Macaca fascicularis: one gene and its partner. The protein of the gene in region 1 interacts with the protein of each later gene in a pairwise test. Links are inferred from orthologs where the notes say so. Each region holds a gene or a part of one and is shown on either strand. Other genes may lie near its edges. The genes, in order: TACC3 and KIZ.

Evidence for each region.
Region 2: the proteins of TACC3 (region 1) and KIZ interact in binary tests that used the Homo sapiens proteins (3 or more experiments, as listed by UniProt). The two-hybrid records come from large-scale screens. The link is inferred for Macaca fascicularis from reciprocal best matches to the Homo sapiens genes TACC3 and KIZ.

Annotation. Positions count from the first base shown.
Region 1 is NC_088379.1:1,885,137-1,888,947, forward strand, and holds part of TACC3 (transforming acidic coiled-coil-containing protein 3), read left to right. Parts: intron 1-3,203; coding exon 3,204-3,310; intron 3,311-3,398; coding exon 3,399-3,519; intron 3,520-3,635; coding exon 3,636-3,701; 3' UTR 3,702-3,811. UniProt on the Homo sapiens protein: Plays a role in the microtubule-dependent coupling of the nucleus and the centrosome. Involved in the processes that regulate centrosome-mediated interkinetic nuclear migration (INM) of neural progenitors.
Region 2 is NC_088384.1:66,160,781-66,164,591, reverse strand, and holds part of KIZ (centrosomal protein kizuna), read left to right. Parts: intron 1-2,400; coding exon 2,401-3,046; intron 3,047-3,396; coding exon 3,397-3,712; intron 3,713-3,811. UniProt on the Homo sapiens protein: Centrosomal protein required for establishing a robust mitotic centrosome architecture that can endure the forces that converge on the centrosomes during spindle formation. Required for stabilizing the expanded pericentriolar material around the centriole.

The DNA of each region.
Region 1 (3,811 bases):
GGTCACGGCTATGCAAGGTCACCCTGGCGTCCTCCTGGCCATAGGACTCTGAGCGCCCTCCACCTTCTGTGCTGGGCAAGGCCCATGTGCTGCTGGAAGGAGGGATGTCTGGGCCATCCATCTGCCTGGAGCAGGCCTGGAAGGTACCTGCGAGGCCACCAGAGGGTTCTGCCCACAGCAGTAGTGTTGGAGCGGAGGTGCTCAGTGTCTCCTGTAGAGGAGCTGGACCTGTGGGTGCAGCTGGAAGAGGGCCTGTCACCATTGGTGCAAGGGGCTGGGGACACCAGATGGGTCCCCTGGGAGTCAGACTAAACTAGAACAGTGGCCCTTGCAGGGGCTGGCTCAGCCACACCTCATCTCAGTCCTGAAGTCAGGTGGGTGTCAGTGGCTGGGGCCCAGCTGCCTAAGAGAAGCAAGTCTGAATACTCTCTGGAAGAAGGTGTCTTAATGCTTTAAATTGCTGCTACAGAGTTTTAAATTAGTGTCTGGCACAGAATAACCAAGTGTGAAAGGAACAGGAAACATGAGTGAAAATCAGACCTGTTATTAGAGTGAGGCATGGTGATATACGCCTGTGGTCCTAGCTACTTGGGAGGCTGAGGTGGGGGGATCGTTTGAGTTCGGGAGGTGGAGGCTGCAGTGAGCCACAATTGTATCACTGCACTCCAGCCTGGGCAATAGACCAAGACCCCCATCTCTAAAATTAAAAAAAAAAAAAAAAAAAGAAAACTGTTGATAGACCCACGGGAGCCCCAGATGTTTTAGGTGGCACCAGCAGGTAATGCCCCAGATCTGCAGGGAGCAGATGGGAAGGGCCTCGCGGCAGCAGAGTGCAGTAATCTGGCTCAGTACAGACGCTTGGAGAGGCTGCTGACTTGAGGACACAGTGGCTTTGCTGACCTTCCCTCAGGTTGGGCTGTGGTGTGAGCAGCTGCCTTGGCCTTGCCTCTCCTCGGGGTAGGCCTGTGCCTCAGCTCCCACTGGCCACCTCCCCACTTTCTCATGGAGGCTTCTTTGCACATCTAATCCCATCTCGGAGGACCCAGTGCAGAGTTTAAAGTAATTGCCTTCTGTGTTCAAAAGAGTATTGCTTCAGTAGAGACCTCGAAACTAGAAAAGAATCCCCTTTGGGAGGCCAAGACAGGCAGATCACTTGAGGTCAGGAGTTCGAGACTAGCCTGGCCAACATGGTGAAACCCCGTCTCCTAAAAATACAAAAATTGGGCTGGGCAAGGTGGTTCATGCCTGTATTCCCAGCACTTTGGGAGGCCAAGGCAGGTGGATCACCTGTCAGGAGTTCAAGACCAGCCTGACCAATATGGTGAAACCTCATCTGTACTGAAAATACAAAAATTAGCTAGGTAGGCATGGTGGCATTCGCCTGTAGTCTAAGCTACTCGGGAGGCTGAGGCAGGAGAATCGTTTGAACCTGGGAGGCAGAGATTGCAGTGAGCCGATAGCGCACCATTGCACTCCAGCCTGGGCAACAGAGCAAGACTCCATCTCAAAAAAAAAAAAAAAAAAATTAGCGGGGCATGGTGGTGCAGGCCTGTAGTCCCAGCTCCTCAGGAGGTTGAGGCATGATCATCACTTGCACCTGGTAGGCGGAGGTTGCAGTGACCTAAGATTGCGCCGCTGCACTCCAGCCTGTGCCACAGAACGAGACTGTCTCTAAGAAACAAAAAATACGGAAAAACTAGGCCAGTTTATGCCTGTAATCCCAGCACTTTGGGAGGCCGAGGCAGGAGGACCACGAGGTCAGGAGTTCAAGACCATCCTGGCCAACATGGTGAAACCCTGTCTGTACTGAAAATACAAAAATTAGCTGGGTGTGGTGGCAGGCACCTGTAGCCCCAGCTACTCAGGAGACTGAGGCAGGAGAATTGGGAGGTGGAGGTTGCAGTAAGCCGAGATCGTGCCATTGCACTCCAGGCTGGCGACAGAGCGAGACTCAGTCTCAAAAAAAAAAAACTAGAGAAGAACCAAATGGAAATTTCTTTTTTTTTTTTTTTTTTTTTTTTTGGAGACGGAGTCTCGCTCTGTCGCCCAGGCTGGAGTGCAGTGGCCGGATCTCAGCTCACTGCAAGCTCCGCCTCCCGGGTTCACGCCATTCTCCTGCCTCAGCCTCCCGAGTAGCTGGGATTACAGGCATGTGCCACCTCGCCCGGCTAAGTTTTTGTATTTTTAGTAGAGACGGGGTTTCACTGTGTTACCCAGGATGGTCTCGATCTCCTGACCTCGTGATCCACCCGTCTCAGCCTCCCAAAGTGCTGGGATTACAGGCTTGAGCCACCGCGCCCGGCCAAAATGGAAATTTCTAACAGGTACACAGTTAACAAAGTTAGCAGTTCAGAGGGTACAGGTCAGATGAGGGAAGCAGAGGGTGAGCTGGGAGCCAATGTGTGGACGGCAGCCCCCAGAGCCAGAGGGAGAGACGCTGCTGTGGCGGGAGGCTTGACCTGTGTCGACGTGAGAGCTTTCGGCTGCCACCTCCCAGACAGACGCTGTTGGGAATTTTCCACAGCAGAGAAACACAGGGCTGTGGGTTTATGGGAGGTGTGACCTCCGCAGGACATCGTGGGCTGCATGCTGGATGGGTGCTCCTGGGATACAGGGCTGCAACAGAGGAGTGGGGATGGCTGGGCTGTGAGGCTGCTGGGGGCACTGCAGGAAGAGGGCAGGTGGGCTGAGCCTTCTCCAAGCAGAGGCCACTCGGGGGCCCAGGAGCCCCTCAATTGGGGCTTCTCGGTCACTGAGCGGAAGGTGCCCCCAGAGCTGTGGGGAGCAGGCAGGTCTGGGTAACCATGTGGCTCCTGCTGGCCTCCCCTGCCTGTCCCCAAAGCACAGGGTCCATCTCCAGAGGGGGAGGGGCTGGGCTGTCAGTGGTCCCAGGTGCATCCCACTTTCCAGCAGCACTTGGTGCCAGCAGAAGCTACAGGTGTGGCAGGAGGGGGCGCAGCCGTGAGGGCACCAGGTTCAGGCCTGGCGTCTCTGAGGGTGGAGAGCCAGGGCTGTCCTGAACCTCCAGAGGGGGTGAGCTGGGAACTTGTGTGGAGGGGCTTTTTCCACAAGGAAAACAGGAGGTACTGCCTCATGACTGATGCCCCAGACAGCCTTGAGGGTCTGCAGGTCCCCAGACACCAAGCCTGGGTACTCTCCAGCAGATGGCATGGTACCCACAGCTAATGCCTGCCCCTTCCTAGAACGAAGAGTCACTGAAGAAGTGTGTGGAGGATTACCTGGCGAAGATCACCCAGGAAGGCCAGAGGTACCAAGCCCTGAAGGCGCATGCGGAGGAGAAGCTGCAGCTGTGAGTGCTGGGCGAGGCCCCCACCCTGGAGGGAGAGTCTGAGCACCTGGGCCCCAGCTCAGCCTCTGCCCTGCCCTTACCCGTCCAGGGCAAATGAGGAGATCGCCCAAGTCCGGAGCAAGGCCCAGGCGGAAGTGTTGGCCCTCCAGGCCAGCTTGAGGAAGGAGCAGATGCGGATCCAGTCGCTGGAGAAGACAGTGGAGCAGAAGGTGGGTGCGGGAAGCCCAGCTCACGGGGCCGGCTGGCAGCACCTTCTAGAAGGCCCTTGGGCCTGCCGCTCCCTCCAGGCAGGGAGAAGCCCCCGCAACTCATCTTCCTTATCCAGACTAAAGAGAATGAGGAGCTGACCAGGATCTGCGACGACCTCATCTCCAAGATGGAGAAGATCTGACCTCCCGGGTGCCGCTGTCCCGCCCCTGCTCCCGTCCGTCGTCTCGTCTGATTTTCTTAGGTGTCGTGTTCTTTTTTCTGTCTTGTCTTCAACTTTTTTTTTTTTTTTTT
Region 2 (3,811 bases), on another chromosome or scaffold:
CCGCAAGCTCCGCCTCCGGGGTTTACGCCATTCTCCTGCCTCAGCCTCCCGAGTAGCTGGGACTACAGGCGCCCGCCATCTTGCCCGGCTAGTTTTTTGTATTTTTTTAGTAGAGACGGGGTTTCACCGTGTTAGCCAGGATGGTCTCGATCTCCTGACCTTGTGATCCGCCCGTCTCGGCCTCCCAAAGTGCTGGGATTACAGGCTTGAGCCACTGCGCCCCGGCCGTAGTGAATTCTTATAATTTTATGTTGCCTCAGCAAACATTTTAAATCTAAGTTGAACCTTCTCATACCAGAAGCAGGACTGAGTCACCCCGACACAGTTGGCAGTTCCACCTTTTTCCCCAGTTCCTCAGTGTGGTTGGTCCAGATACCTGCCTTACACAGCTGCTCTCTGGTGACCACTTCCCTATGGGATAGCTGGATACAGCCTGCTTGACAGGCCCTTCTTACCTTCACATTCCCCATGGACCATATGCCACAGTGACCACCTCTCAGTCACTGGGTAACCTCCCAAAACTCATGCCTGCTTGCTTTAAACTCACCAGTTAAAACTCCCCATGCTGCCTTTGGGAAACCTGTTTGGATAACACCTGGGACCCATTAAAGACATTGGCTCATGTGTCCTTCCCCTCAAACCACTGCTTCCACCATGTGAGGACACGGGTCCCTTTTCTTCCTCTCTCTGCCTGCACTCCCTGACGTTTGTGTGCTGGCCTCCAGGTATGCCGTGTACTCTCCAGAACCTGTAAGTGATAATGTCTTTATTTCTATCTCATATTTCTCCTAATTATTGGAGGGATACTCTCCATCTTAAATATCCTAAATTAAAACGTCTATCTTTCTTAGTATAGCCATTGATATGGGCTGAATATTTGTGTCCCCCCCCCGCCCCCGGCACAATTCATGTATTGAAATTCTAGGCCGGGTGCGGTGGCTCAAGCCTGTAATCCCAGCACTTTGGGAGGCCGAGACGGGTGGATCACGAGGTCAGGAGATCGAGACCATCCTGGCTAACACGGTGAAACCCCGTCTCTACTAAAAAAAATACAAAAAACTAGCCGGGCAAGGTGGCGAGTGCCTGTAGTCCCAGCTACTCGGGAGGCTGAGGCAGGAGAATGGCGTGAACCCGGGAGGTGGAGTTTGCAGTGAGCTGAGATCCGGCCACTGCACTCCAGCCTGGGGGACAGAGCGAGACCCCGTCTCAAAAAAAAAAAAAAAGAAAAAAAAGAAATTCTAATCCCCAAGGTGTTGGTTTTTGAGGATGAGGACTTTGGGAAGTGATTGAATCAAGGGGGCAGAGCCTTCATGGGCACAATAGTTTCTTTATAAAAGAGGCCGGGGAAATTTGCTTGCCCCTTCCACCCTGCGAGCACACAGCAGAAAGATGCTGTCTGAGAGAAAGCAGTTCCTTACCAGACCCGGAGTCTACTGGCGCCTGCCTCGATCTTGGACTTCCCAGCCTCCAGAACTATCAGAAACAAATTTCTGTTATTTATACACTGTCTAGTTTATGATATTTTGTTACAGCAGCATGAACAGACCAAGACAGCCATCATAGTGGGTAAAGTGATATCTTACTGTGCTTTTGAATTATGTTTCCCTAATGAGTAACGATAGTATCATTTTATGTGTTTATTGGCCATTCATATATCTTCTTTGGAGAAATGTCTATCTAAATCCTTTTCCCACTTTTAAGGGCTATTTGTCTTTTTATTACATAGTTATATGACTTCTTTATGTATTTTGGATACTAGACCCTTATCAAATACATAATTTATAATATTTTCTCCCATTGTGTGGGTTTTCACTTTCCTAATGATGTCTTTTCAAAGCATGTATTTCTTTTTTCAAAAACATATATTCTGTACTTTCTTTTTTTTTTTTTGAGATGGAGTCTCCAGGCTGGAGTGCAGTGGCATGATCTCAGCTCACTGCAATCTCTGCTGCCCGGGTTCAAGTGATTCTCCTGCCTCGGCTTCCCAAACAGCTGGCATCACAGGCACCTGCCACCATGCCCGGCTAATTTTTGTATTTTTAGCAGAGACAGAGTTTTACCATGTTAGCCAGGCTGGTCTCGAACTCCTAACCTCAGGTGATCTGCCCACCTTAGCCTCCCAAAGTGCTGGGATTGCAGGCATGAGCCACCACACCTGGCCTACTTTCTTTACTATGTTGGTTTTGTGAACTATCATTGTTATTAAAATTAAATTGTATGGACTTTACTGCTTTTTGCTCATTCATTATGTAGGAAGCCATGAGTTTAATAAAACGTGGTAGGTGCTGATTTCAGTAATCATGCTTTGTTTGACCTCCTTTCATTTCCGGGGGAAAAAAAAAAAACCACCTAATTGTTTATACACAATATGTTTAGCTCACATCTCTTTTGGTGTTGCAGGTTGCAGTGCAGGAGGGAATTAACTCAGGAACAGCCATGTCAAGAGGATTGTATCAACCAGCAACAATCTTTATGGGCCGCCAAATGTCAGCCGTCTCAAGCATGGGAGATTTCAGTACAGAGCACAAATCTCCCCAACCAACAAAGAACTTTTCAATTCCTGACCCACATTCACACCGACAGACAGCCCAGAGAAGTAATGTGACAGACAGCTGTGTAGTACAAACTAGTAATGACACACAGTGCTTAAATAAGTCTGACAACATAGATGGAAAGGCATCTCTTCAGATTGGTGAGAAAACGCCAGTCACAGCCAGTGTATTGTCTGAGGAGGAACAAACTCATTGCTTGGAGATAGGAAGTAACACACGTCATGGCAAGAGTAATTTATCTGAAGGCAAAAAGTCTGCTGAACTCAATTCCCCGTTACAGGAAAGATTAAGTCCAGAGAAGAGAACCACTGGTTTAAAGTGTGACAGTTCCAGCAGATCAGAGGGATCAGAGGGAGAAATACTGACACGGGAACATATTGAAGTTGAGGAAAAAAGAGCCAGCCCGCCAGTCTCTCCGATATCAGTTTCGGAATACTGTGAATCTGAAAATAAGTGGTCTCAAGAGAAGCATTCTCCTTGGCAAGGTGTTTCAGGTGGGATGAGAGGCTGAGTTTGGTTGCTGAGTTTTCTGGGTGGTAGTGATCTTATGTAAGGACAAAATATACTCTCTAATTATCTCTCTTTGTCATAAAATAGTATCTTTGCCAACAAAATCCATTCTAATGAACTCTTAAAAATGTACATGCAAGTGAATTTGCTGATTTTTAAACCCGCTGTGATTTTTTTTTAAACATTTGAAAATATGTTTAAGCTTTTAAGTTCCGTAATGAATTGTGTGTGGGCTGCTTCTCCGTGTTTTTAACTGATGAGTGATTCTGCTGTGTGTTACCTTGCTTCCCCCTGAAGTCAGTGATTGGTAATCGATTCATGTCCCCACTTGCAGATCATCTTGCTCACGGGGACCCAAAGTCACAAAAGCCCTTCAGAAAAAAGCAGGAAGAGGAGGAGGAGGAAAGTTGGAGCACCAGCAGTGACCTCACTGTTTCAATAAGTGAAGATGACCTGTTTTTAAAGAGCCCAGAACCACAGCCAAATCCAGGTGGCAAGGTGGAGGGAGAAGATGGAATAGAGGCCTTAAAATTAATCCATGCTGAGCAAGAAAGAGATGCCCTATCCACTGAAAAAAATAATTGTATTTTGCAAACCCTAAGCTCTCCTGATTCAGAAAAGGAATCCTCCACTCACGCACTAACTAGAGAGTAAGCCATTCAATTTTTTTTTTCTACTGTTCTGTTTTTAATTGTAGACATTTCTAGAGACCATTCCACTGGGAATGTATTATTGAGCACTCAGCCATG